Macaca fascicularis: one gene and its partners. The protein of the gene in region 3 purifies or fractionates together with the protein of the main gene of each other region. This does not show direct contact. Links are inferred from orthologs where the notes say so. Each region holds a gene or a part of one and is shown on either strand. Other genes may lie near its edges. The genes, in order: JUP, CTNND1 and CDH2.

What was found.
Region 1: the proteins of CDH2 (region 3) and JUP purify together in Homo sapiens (co-immunoprecipitation; 4 studies listed by BioGRID and IntAct, with this or other methods). This does not show direct contact. The link is inferred for Macaca fascicularis from reciprocal best matches to the Homo sapiens genes CDH2 and JUP.
Region 2: the proteins of CDH2 (region 3) and CTNND1 purify together in Homo sapiens (affinity purification with western blotting; 6 studies listed by BioGRID and IntAct, with this or other methods). This does not show direct contact. The link is inferred for Macaca fascicularis from reciprocal best matches to the Homo sapiens genes CDH2 and CTNND1.

The regions. Positions count from the first base shown.
Region 1 is NC_088390.1:62,792,252-62,795,900, forward strand, and holds part of JUP (junction plakoglobin), read right to left. Parts: intron 3,136-3,649; coding exon 2,980-3,135; intron 2,813-2,979; coding exon 2,693-2,812; intron 2,089-2,692; coding exon 1,938-2,088; intron 1,845-1,937; coding exon 1,723-1,844; intron 203-1,722; coding exon 163-202; intron 1-162. UniProt on the Homo sapiens protein: Common junctional plaque protein. The membrane-associated plaques are architectural elements in an important strategic position to influence the arrangement and function of both the cytoskeleton and the cells within the tissue.
Region 2 is NC_088388.1:15,839,704-15,843,452, forward strand, and holds the start of CTNND1 (catenin delta-1), read right to left. Parts: upstream 2,538-3,749; 5' UTR 2,301-2,537; intron 553-2,300; exon of another isoform or gene 244-552; intron 1-243. UniProt on the Homo sapiens protein: Key regulator of cell-cell adhesion that associates with and regulates the cell adhesion properties of both C-, E- and N-cadherins, being critical for their surface stability.
Region 3 is NC_088392.1:61,831,936-61,835,584, reverse strand, and holds part of CDH2 (cadherin-2), read right to left. Parts: intron 804-3,649; coding exon 597-803; 3' UTR 1-596. UniProt on the Homo sapiens protein: Calcium-dependent cell adhesion protein; preferentially mediates homotypic cell-cell adhesion by dimerization with a CDH2 chain from another cell. Cadherins may thus contribute to the sorting of heterogeneous cell types.

The DNA of each region.
Region 1 (3,649 bases), on a different chromosome or scaffold from region 3:
CCCCAGACCCCACACCAGGGCATCTAGACTAGGGTACATGTGGATGCCACAGAGCAGTTGCCACTGGTCCTCTGGCCCCAGAGACATAATATTGCCCCCTCACACACACCCACACAGCCACCCAGGATCTCCAGGGTCCTGAAGAGCCTGGCACACACTTACCATCTCCATAGGGCTCATTGATGGGAATCATGCTCTGGGCCTGAAAAAGGAGAGAGAAACATGGAGGAGAGGTTTGAAAATGCAGGCTCCGGCCGGGCGCGGTGGCTCAAGCCTGTAATCCCATCACTTTGGGAGGCCGAGGCGGGCGGATCACGAGGTCAGGAGATCGAGACCATCCTGGCTAACACGGTGAAACCCCGTCTCTACTAAAAAAAATACAAAAAACTAGCCGGGCGAGGTGGCGGGCGCCTGTAGTCCCAGCTACTCGGGAGGCTGAGGCAGGAGAATGGCGTGAACTCGGGAGGCGGAGCTTGCAGTGAGCTGAGATCCGGCCACTGCACTCCAGCCTGGGCGGCAGAGCAAGACTCCGTCTCAAAAAAAAAAAAAGAAAATGCAGGCTCCAAGCTGGATATCAGCTGGGGGGCAGGGAGAGATGCTTCTAAAAGAAGGGACTGGGCCGGATGTGGTGGCTCACGCCTGTAATCCCAGCAATCTGGGAGGTGGAGGCAGGCGGATCACTTGAGGTCAGGAGTTTTGGACCAGCCTGGCCAACGTGGTGAAACCCCGTCTCTACTAAAAATACAAAAAAATAGCTGTGCGTGGTGGTGCACACCTGTAATCCCAGCTACTTGGGAGGCTGAGGCAGGAGAATTGCTTGAATGGGGAGACAGAGGATGCAGTGAGCCGAGACTGCGCCACTGCACTCCAGCCTGGGCCACAGAGAGAGACTCCGTCTCGAAAAAAATAAAAAATAGCCCGGGTACAGTGGCTCACACCTGTAATCCCAGCACTTTGGGAGGCCAAGGTGGGCAGATTACAAGGTCAGGAGATTGAGATCATCCTAGCCAACATGGGGAAACCCCATCTCTACTAAAAATACAAAAATTAGCTGGGTGTGGTAGCATGTGCCTGTAGTTCCAGTTACTCAGGAGGCTAAGGCAGGAGAATTGCTTGAAACCAGGAGGCAGAGGTTGCAGTGAGCCAAGATCACGCCACTGCACTCCAGCCTGGCGACAGACCAAGACTCTGTCTCAAAAAAAAATAAAAACAAATAAATAAATAAAAGAGGGGGCCAGAGAAAAGCAAAGAGGCCTTGGAGGAATACAGGATGATGAAATGGGGTCACCCAGTGCCCTGATGTACTCGTGTCCTCAGTACTCCCCAGGGAGGAGGGTTCCCCATTCATGGAGCAGGAACTCCTGCTGGATTAGAGCAGCTCATGGGAGGAGGGTAGGAGGCAGAGGACTCACGAATGGGTGCAGGGCACTGCTCCACCCTGGAAAAGACCACCTGTAGCCTATCCAGCACCTCCATGCAAATTAGGAAAAGCACCCCCTCCTCAAACACCGTATACTCATTTGGGCAAAATAAAAATTGGCATTGTGTGGACATATGGTTCAACCTACTACTTCCATCTGCTAGGAATTGTTATAAATGATCCAATTACAAAATAAAAATCTATAAAGTTGACAGTAGTAGGAGACCCCCAAAAGTCAAGTTGCCCTTGGGCAGTGCACAAGTTGTGCAACCAACTACTGCGGTCCAGCCTAGGATACTCACAGCCTCCCAGGCAGCCGGGTCATGCTTAAAGAGGGAGTTGGTGAGCTCCACGGACACACGCTTCCGGTAGTCTGGGTTCTTGTCCTCAGAGATGCGGAACAGGACAGCAGCAGCGTAGGTGGCTGAGCAGAGAGGAGAGGAAAAGCTAGGTTAAACGTCTGCCAGCCTCCATCATGCCTGGGGGAGTGGGACCCAGCTGCCCTCTTCCAGCTCACCAGTGCCCTCGTTGCGGGAGTGCAGCAACTCCATGAGTGGGGCCGAGGCCCCCTCTGCATCAATGGCGTCAGCCGCCTCCTTGTCCTGGGCCAGCTCACACAGCACCCCGGCGGCCACACGCTGGATGTTCTCCACCGATGAGTACAGGAGCTGGGGAGAGGGGACATGGGAAGCAGGGGAGAGGTGGGAAGGGGTGAGGCAGGCCGGACAACACACCCCACAGCCCTGCCCACCTCCACCCTGTAGCAATTCCATAGTGGAAAACGGGCCATCACTGGGGAGTAAGTGTTACTGTTTTAAACTGGGCTGAGTGTTGTTCATGAACTACCTTGAAATTACCTGTTACTCTGCTTCATCTAACCATTGGAATCTAGTGTTAAAGAAGTCACTGACATGAAAGATGTTAAACTCTTGTCTGTTATGGTACTTGCACATATTCTCCCAGTTTGCTGATTTTTTTAATGCTTTTTAAAGGTTCTTTCTGAAATAGATGGTTTTCATGTTTATGTGGTTGAATCTCAAGTTTTTTTTGTTTTTGTTTTTTCCATTTGTGATCTCTTTCCTTGCTTTGAAGCTTAGAAAGCCATGCCTGTGCAGGGGGTTGCTAAGTAGTCAATCTGGTGTGGCCACTTTCCTCCAAACTCCTCCAAAGACCTCTTGATGCCTGGTCCAGGCCCTCAAAATCTGGGACTCCTAACCTTGCCCTCTAAGCAGTGGTGGGGGCAGCTCTCCTGCATACCTGCCCCAGACTCACCTGCACAAACAGAGGGATGGTGTTGAGCCGGAAGATCTCCATGCGGTTCATGGGGTCCCGGGCGAGGATGTGCAGGGCTCCGGTGCAGCCCTCCACAATCTCCTCCATCCTCACACCATCCTGCAAGAGAGGAGGCAGGGGGCATGGGACAGGTGCTGTCAGCCGAATGAACTTCACAGGCTCTTGGAACTGGCATCAGTTGCAACTGACCTCTGCATTCACACACACACCCACAGAGGACACCTGCCCCCCAGGAAGGTTGTCACAGGCACCACCAGCTCACATACCGTGTAGGGCTGCTGTGTGCCTGCAGCTACGTGGCGCTGGGCATCCTGGTGGGCCTTGACCAGCAGTTGGACGAGGCGGGGGATGACCGCTGCCTCCTGCAGTGGGGCATGGTTGGCTGGGCACAGGGCCAGATTCCTGATCAAGCCAATGGTTGCCTGGCAAAAAAAAAAAGGGGCAGCAATCAGGGGCACTTCTTGGACATCTGAAGGATCCCAGCTTCCCAGCTTCAGGTATCCCCTCTCTCCTTCACCTCTTCTGTCCCCGAGGCCAGACACAGGCACACTAGAAGATATCCAGAGAAGGAGACCATCCCAGCCATGTCACTTAATCCACAGGATCTGGGGGTGCTCATGGCTAATCCTTTTCTTTTTTTTTTTTTTTTTTTGAGATAGAGTTTCACTCTTGTTACCCAGGCTGGAGTGCAGTGATGCAATCTCACCTCATTGCAACCTCCACCTCCTGGGTTCAAGTGATTCTCCCGCCTCAGCCTCCTGAGTAGCTGCGATTACAGGAGCCCACCACCACGCCCAGCTAATTTTTTATATATTTTGTTTGTTTGTTTGTTTGTTTTTTTGAGACGGAGTCTCGCTCTGTCGCCCAGGCTGGAGTGCAGTGGCGTGATCTCGGCTCACTGCAAGCTCCGCCTCCTGGGTTTACGCCATTCTCCTG
Region 2 (3,749 bases), on a different chromosome or scaffold from region 3:
TTTTTGTTAATATCTCCAAATAGTCTCAATTTTACCCTAGCTCAGAGAACATGTTGAAGCTTCTCTGACTATCCATGCTGGAACCTTGAGAAAGGTACTAGAACTCCAACCACCTAAAAGAGAACCGCCCCCCCTCCGCCCCCCAATCTGGAACACAGACCACTACCTTACTCACATAACAAAGAAACCAACCGTATATAGGAGGCAAACAAGGAAAGAAAAATCTGAACAGCTCATACTTACCTGTCATCATTTTTTACCCCAAAACCAAGACGAGGAGCAAAATAAAAAAATTTTAAAAATAAAAGATTTACTTATCTGCATCCCTTATAATTCCTGAAAGAACCAGTGGAGGTGAGGTAAAAGACAAATCTTCCATCTTATCACCCCAAAGGCTCTGTACTACACACCAGTCAAAACAGCGCCTCAGTTCGTGGAAATAGTCCTGGACACTAGGTTAACCAGGATGCTCACTTCGACTACACAAAGCCCACTATTTAAAGCTAAACCCAAATCACCACCACTCAGTCATCCAGAACCTATTTTCAAACTGCCTTTGTACTCCTCCTTCAGATTCCCTCATCCCTCCCCCTAAAGGTTGAGTGGGAAACAGACACTCTGGAAGCAACATGACCAACACTCTAAAGATCCAAGAAACCTCCCCAGGCTGGAGTCAAGGCATAGAGAACATTTGAAAGAAAATTTGGAAAATACTAAACAGACTATACACATTGTATTTTTTTCTTTCTTTTTGACTGTACTTGTTATAATTATGAGATCCAGACATCAAAAATTTCCTGCAGCCTTTGCCTAGATTATATTCAAAGGAGGAACAAAGTTCTGTTTCCTCCTGAAGCCACAACTTCACAAGGATGAAATCATCTTTCAAGAAATACCCTCATTCTAGAAAAGAAATTCAAGGAAGTCTCGTCTTAAAAAAAATTTGCGGCAGGGGGGTGGGGGGTGGAACGAAATCAGATTATTAAAGATACATACCAGTTTAAAGCTAATGAGCAGCTTACACACTAAAGCCCATCTTGTTACAATTAGGACAGTATCTATAATTTTCAGCCTGATTCGCATTTTCAAAAAGAGAAGAGAATACCCTAGTTTTTCAGCTAGTGATGAGTTGGCTATATAATTATCTAGAATCAGTACTTTTGCAAGAATGTATTTGCGAAAACAAAACAAATCTTAAGATTAAATATATGAAAGCACAGTCATAGGCCTTCAGCTCTAAGAGATTTAAGATTTCATGGTAAATTAACTAAGCAATAAACTCCAAAAAACAACTTTCAGTTTGGTTTAAAAATAAAAATCTCCCTTGTGTTTTCTGAAACGTATTTTAAACACTAAACTTTGTATAAATGGTTTTTCTAAACCTAATTTTATTCCAGCCATGGCCATTTCAGAGTGCAGAAAGCTGAAAATATTTTCAGGTGTGTAGTCACTTTACTCAGGTGAAATAAAAAGCATGATTAGAATTTCCTTATCCCTTTAAACACATAAACCAAACGTTGTCGTATTTGCAGATTTAACAAACACCTCCACAAATCTTTGCTATGAAAGGTAGTTTAGAAGGAAGAAGGAGATGGCAATTCAGTTAACATTGTTCCGTATGTTTTCTTTTATAAGCCAAAGCAGGGAGACTACATCTAGCAGGAGAATGAGGTTCCCACCCACCGCACCTGGAAAAGTAAGAGGGATCCACCCAGGAACAGCAGGGCTGAAACCGATACGGGCCGTTCAAACTCTCTGGGGGAAAAACAATACCATTTACGCTGCAAAGCTCCCTGCAACTTTCCACTTCCACAAATCCAATGACAAAGAAAAAAAAAGTTTGAAACATATGAAGAACCATCTGCATAACTGGGTTCCGACACGGACAAATTCCTTTCCCAACCCACATGCAACATGCCAAAAAACCAACTTTTGGGCTCTGAAAACAGAAATATGTTAGCTTAATCCAGAAAAAAACAAAACAAAACAAAACAAAAAACATAAAATCAAAGAACACACCAAAATGTAAATTTTCAAACCTGCTCTTACCCCTCTGGATCTACTCAGCTTCCTGTATTAGAGAGACCTAGAAGTTTGTTTCCAGGTCTTGTATATTTCACCTTTTTAAATATAATAAAATACCAAAATCTACCCCGCCAAAGTATTGAAAGTAGAAAGAAAAATAATTGCTTAAAAGTTACTCATCAACATAACGAACTCTCTCCCGTTTTTTAATTCCCTCCCGTTACCGTAAGACAAAAATTCGACTTGCTTATCCTCCTTTTCCCGTCAGTACATACATTTTCTTTAAAAGCCACACACCTCAAATGTGGAGTTCTAAAAACCAGTCCTTTAAGAAAGAAACCCAAGGCTTCGCCAAGGTGCTGAGAAAGACAAATCCAGCAAGGCAGTTGATTTTTCGCCACCTCTTCCTCCTTTCAGGATCTTTCCTGCTCTTCTTTCTCTCTCTCTCCCTCTCTCTTTTTTTTCCCCCTCAGATCCAACACCTAAAATGGAAGTTGCACCCAGCCAAAGGCAAGGGAGCCTGGGTGGTGACAAACTGATCTGGCAGCCCTACCCCCTTCGCTTTCCTAAGTGATGTCAGCCCCTGTGAGCTTCCAATAGGAGTCAGGCATAAATCAGGGAGCTGACCTTATCCAATAGGAAACTTTATTATAGAAAATTAAAAAAAGAGAGGAGGAGAGAAAGACACAAGGGGAAGTTTATACATATATATTTATATTTATATATTTATATTTAAAGTGGAGAGACTGTACAATCTCTGAGGAATTACTGCAGAGCTGAGGGGGGCGGGGGAGGCAAGGGAGACAAGGAACAAGGGCTTTTCAGAATGGCACGCCTAAGTCTCAGTTCTCTTTGATGATGGGTTCTTGCTCCCTCTTCCGTACTATCCCAGTGGGGAAATAGAAAAGAACTGATTTTACTTGCCTGCTGCTGTTTGGTTTGTTGCTTCCTATCCCAAAGCATTTCCCTAAAGGAAGATGGTAAAGAAAGGAGAGAGAAATCCTAGAAACAGGACTACTATATGTTGACTGGGATGGTAGGGGATATCTGAGGTAAACCCAGTTTCACTGTTTTGGATTAGTTGCATTAGAGCTAATTTTTTTTTTTTTTAAATTTCTAGACTTGTTAACAGTTTTTAGTCTCTATACCCTGAATTAGAAGGAAGCAGAATCCACTGGGCTGTTAAAGAAAATCACTGTCTTCCCAATTTGTCCCCAAATCAAAATAATGTGGGTTTGTTGGGAAGAGGACATGAAATCCAATAAACAATATATTTAGAGGGAATAACAGCATAGGTAAAGAAAGTAAATATCGCCGGGCGCGGTGGCTCAAGCCTGTAATCCCAGCACTTTGGGAGGCCGAGACGGGCGGATCACGAGGTCAGGAGATCGAGACCATCCTGGCTGACACAGTGAAACCCCGTCTCTACTAAAAAATACAAAAAAAACTAGCCGGGCGAGGTGGCGGGCGCCTGTAGTCCCAGCTACTCGGGAGGCTGAGGCAGGAGAATGGCGTGAACCCGGGAGGCGGAGCTTGCAGTGAGCCAAGATCACGCCACTGCACTCCAGCCTGGGCGGCAGAGCGAGACTCTGTCTCAAAAAAAAAAAAAAAAAATTAAAAAAAAAAAGAAAGTAAATATCATGTCAAGAACATTTTATTTCTTTGTGAACTTCAAGCTTAAGATGATCTAGTTCATACATTCTCTTTTTACATTTGACCTAATT
Region 3 (3,649 bases):
TTTGCTACAAATTGGTGATATGAAAACTCCCTTTATTTGCAACCAGCTGAGTAAGTTTTAAGATTTTAGTGGAAAAAAAAAGAAAACTAAAGTCTAAAACTAGAAGTAATGTACATTTTCCAATCTCATGGTCTCATCCCCCAAGGTAACAAAATCGCTCCATGAGTTTTTTTTGTTTAATTCTGTATTTTAATAAAAGCAAATGCAATGTAACAAAGGCGTGTTGAAGCATATCATGGTTTAACTTACTGCTCCCACCACAAAATATTTTGTCTTTTACTTATCGTTTCAGAAATCAGTACCATTAAAGCCTTAAACAGAAAACTAATTCCAATCTGAAAAAGGTACAAAAAGGCACATAAAATCCCAGTGCTTCTGTACTGTAAAATTCAAGTGTAACTGAGCTCAGTGTTTTTCCAAACAGTATGGATCACTGATATTCCCTCTGAGCCCAAATTGGTTTGCAGCCTATGCCAAAGCCTCCAGCAAGCACTGTGCTAGTAGACTACAAAGTTAAAGCCTAGCTTCTGTATGCTTTTTGGGAATATCAGTTGAAATTGTTTGTACTTGTCCAAAAACCAAGTTCACCCTGAAGTTCAGTCATCACCTCCACCATACATGTCAGCAAGTTTCTTGAACCGTGGCCCCCAGTCGTTCAGGTAATCATAGTCCTGCTCACCACCACTACTTGAGGAATTAAGGGAGCTCAAGGACCCAGCAGTGGAGCCACTGCCTTCATAGTCAAACACTAACAGGGAGTCATATGGTGGAGCTGTGGGGTCATTGTCAGCCGCTTTAAGGCCCTGCAATTTGGAAACACAAAGAATGAAAGAATTAAGAGAGGGTTACAATTTACAAAACCACAAGCAGATCCTAATGAATTCATGGGATCAAACACACACTTGTTTGTAAATTTTCATTTACAGACCACATATTCAACACATGGAAACTGCGGATATAACCATTTGAAAGTTAGATAAAAATTAACTTACATCTTTCCTGTGCAAAGAAACAACGCTAAGCACTCAAGCTCAGGGAGGCCAAGACTTATGAAGGGAGGGGGTTAACTGAGTAATAAGTTGGACAGGTGGCAGAAATGAATGGCTCTGCTTGAGGCAGAGAAGGAAGGATCTTAAATAACATAATATATAGAGCAGCACTGCTAGATTAAATTTAAAAAAGCACCTCAGTGAAATACAAGAGACATACAAATGAGTACCAGATGGTCCGTGTCCCTCCCTAGGCTTACAATCTAGCCTAACAGGTACTACTACTGTGTGAAGCAAATGACAAGTGACAAAACTGTGAAGTCAAAGCAAAAACCATCAGGTTGTGGGGAAAAAAAATTCAGATCAGCATTAAGAGCTAGGAGTTCAAAGAGAAAGTAGCATTGTATTTGACCTAATTTTGGAAGGACATCAAAGGAAGACTGAAGACGGGTCAGATGTGATTACTACATAAAGGGAGGTACTCATAAAATCATTTGTGTGATTAACATAACGTAAAATGTGGAATGAATTGATTAATTTTAAACTGGTATTTTAAAATGTAGGGTAACTTCTAACTTCCAAAAATCCTAGAAATATCATAATCCAGTATCTGTACATGGTATAAATATTGAAAAGAGGAGGACTCCTGTCAATCTAAAATAACACGCTTGTCTGGTTCTTATAAAGAATTTTAAAAAGAAAGAAACGAGGAAATAACTACTCTCTATCTATATTTGTAACTTTTGTAAGCAGATGCTTTTTAATATACAATTAGAGTCTCTATGCTCTGCAAAACTTCTAAGGATTCAGTATTAGGTCCTTTGGTATATTTTCTAACTTTTTTTCCCAATTCCATTCTAGTACTCCTAGATATACTAACATTACTAACATTAAAACAAACATTCCCTTTTTCCACATTCTACGTGTCAAATGCTACTTGGCTTATATGGCCTCAACTATCTAAGACGTGTCACAGACAGTCCTACTTGAGAGATCAAGCCTGCCAATACACATGCATTTTATGAGCGCATACATGGGTTTTTATGACCACGTGTTCATCTATCCTTTCAAGGTTACAGAGGAGAAACAGGGAAAAAGCAAAAAAATTAAGGTCAGAATCAGTATGGTGTAGTGGTTAAGAGATCAGACTGTGAGATGACACCTTAGCTCTCCCCAGTACTAGCTGTGGGACCTCCACATAACCTCATCTGCAACTGTAATCATCATCATAAGACTACTATAAAGACCAAATGCAACAAAGGGACCCGACGGCTCACCACAGTGACTGGCACATGTAGAGCTCAATGAATATTAGTACTTTTTAAAAATTTAAGTTGAGAGAAAAATGTCCTGCCTTGGGATTTGAAAAAATAAAAAACAGTAAAGATATATTTTAAGAAAGAAAATGGCAGCTGCTGACTAGCATCAAAAATCAGAGAAAAAAGTACACATGACCAGTTTTCTCATCTTCAGGCACCTCTTTACTAACAGTCTTAACCATGAAATTTAGCAGTACTTTGCTACTTTTCCTCATGTCATTTTATACTATTTATACTCCAGAAAAGCCTGTGTAAAATAAAATAAAGCAGGTTTCAGCAAAATACTTTGATATATACAACATAAATAATTTTAGATGGGATTTTATCTTATTTTTAGACTAAACTACAAGGCAATTCTGCTAAGACTGAGAACCACAACCTACAATTTCTCAAAACTTGTAACTCCCTTCTGTGGTAAATTGTGTTACTGCCCTCAGTGATTCACTGCCCTTTTTCTGAAGGCAGAACACACACCCCCCCTCCCACAGTGCCTCTCTGGGGTCAGGGTTTACTTTCCCAACCACACTGTAAGGCTTGGCTGTCTGACTGGCTCTGGCCAACGCAGTGTAAGTAGCTGTGAAAAGTAGCTGCTTCAAGAACTCTATCTAATGTGTTTCCACCCTTCCACCAATCCTCCTTTCCCCCTCTGCCAGAATGGCCTGCTCCAGATGGGAAGTTTATCTGCCTGGATCCTGAAACAAAGAAAACATATGGATCAGGAACTGAGTCACTGACAGACTACAGTTGACTTATAATTTAAGCAAGAAGTAAACCTTCATTATTATAAGCAGCAATATTTTGGAGTGGTCAGTGATTGGCGCCTTAGCTAACAAAAGCCAAAGAATGCACCTTCATTCATTTTGTTTGTGTTTATTAATTCGATTCAAGACATATTTGTTGATTATCTATTAATATTATTGCAATGTATTCTGCTTACTGGTAGAGACACAGCTACTAATGAGCTAGATCCAATGGGCTGCCCTCGTGGAGTTAATATTCACATATTAGCCTACACTCTTCTTCCTTACAAAGTCTAGCAACTGCAAATTTAAGCAATAGGGATTCCCTTAGTTCAGCATGGTCTGACTTGGGGTCATATAAGTAGGCCCAAGAAGGATCTGGAGAAAAAACAAGAAAAATCAGGGAAATTCCTGATAAGGAGAATGGGTCCCTGAAGACAAATATTAAATTTTCATTATGACAACTGCGTTATAATACAGACAATGGCTAAGATCACTTTGTTCAGGTCATCTGCTTTACCACAATTTAATTATTAAGTGAAAATACACACAGAGCCCTGGCCCAATCCTTATGATGTCAACACTAAACTGGAAATATGGA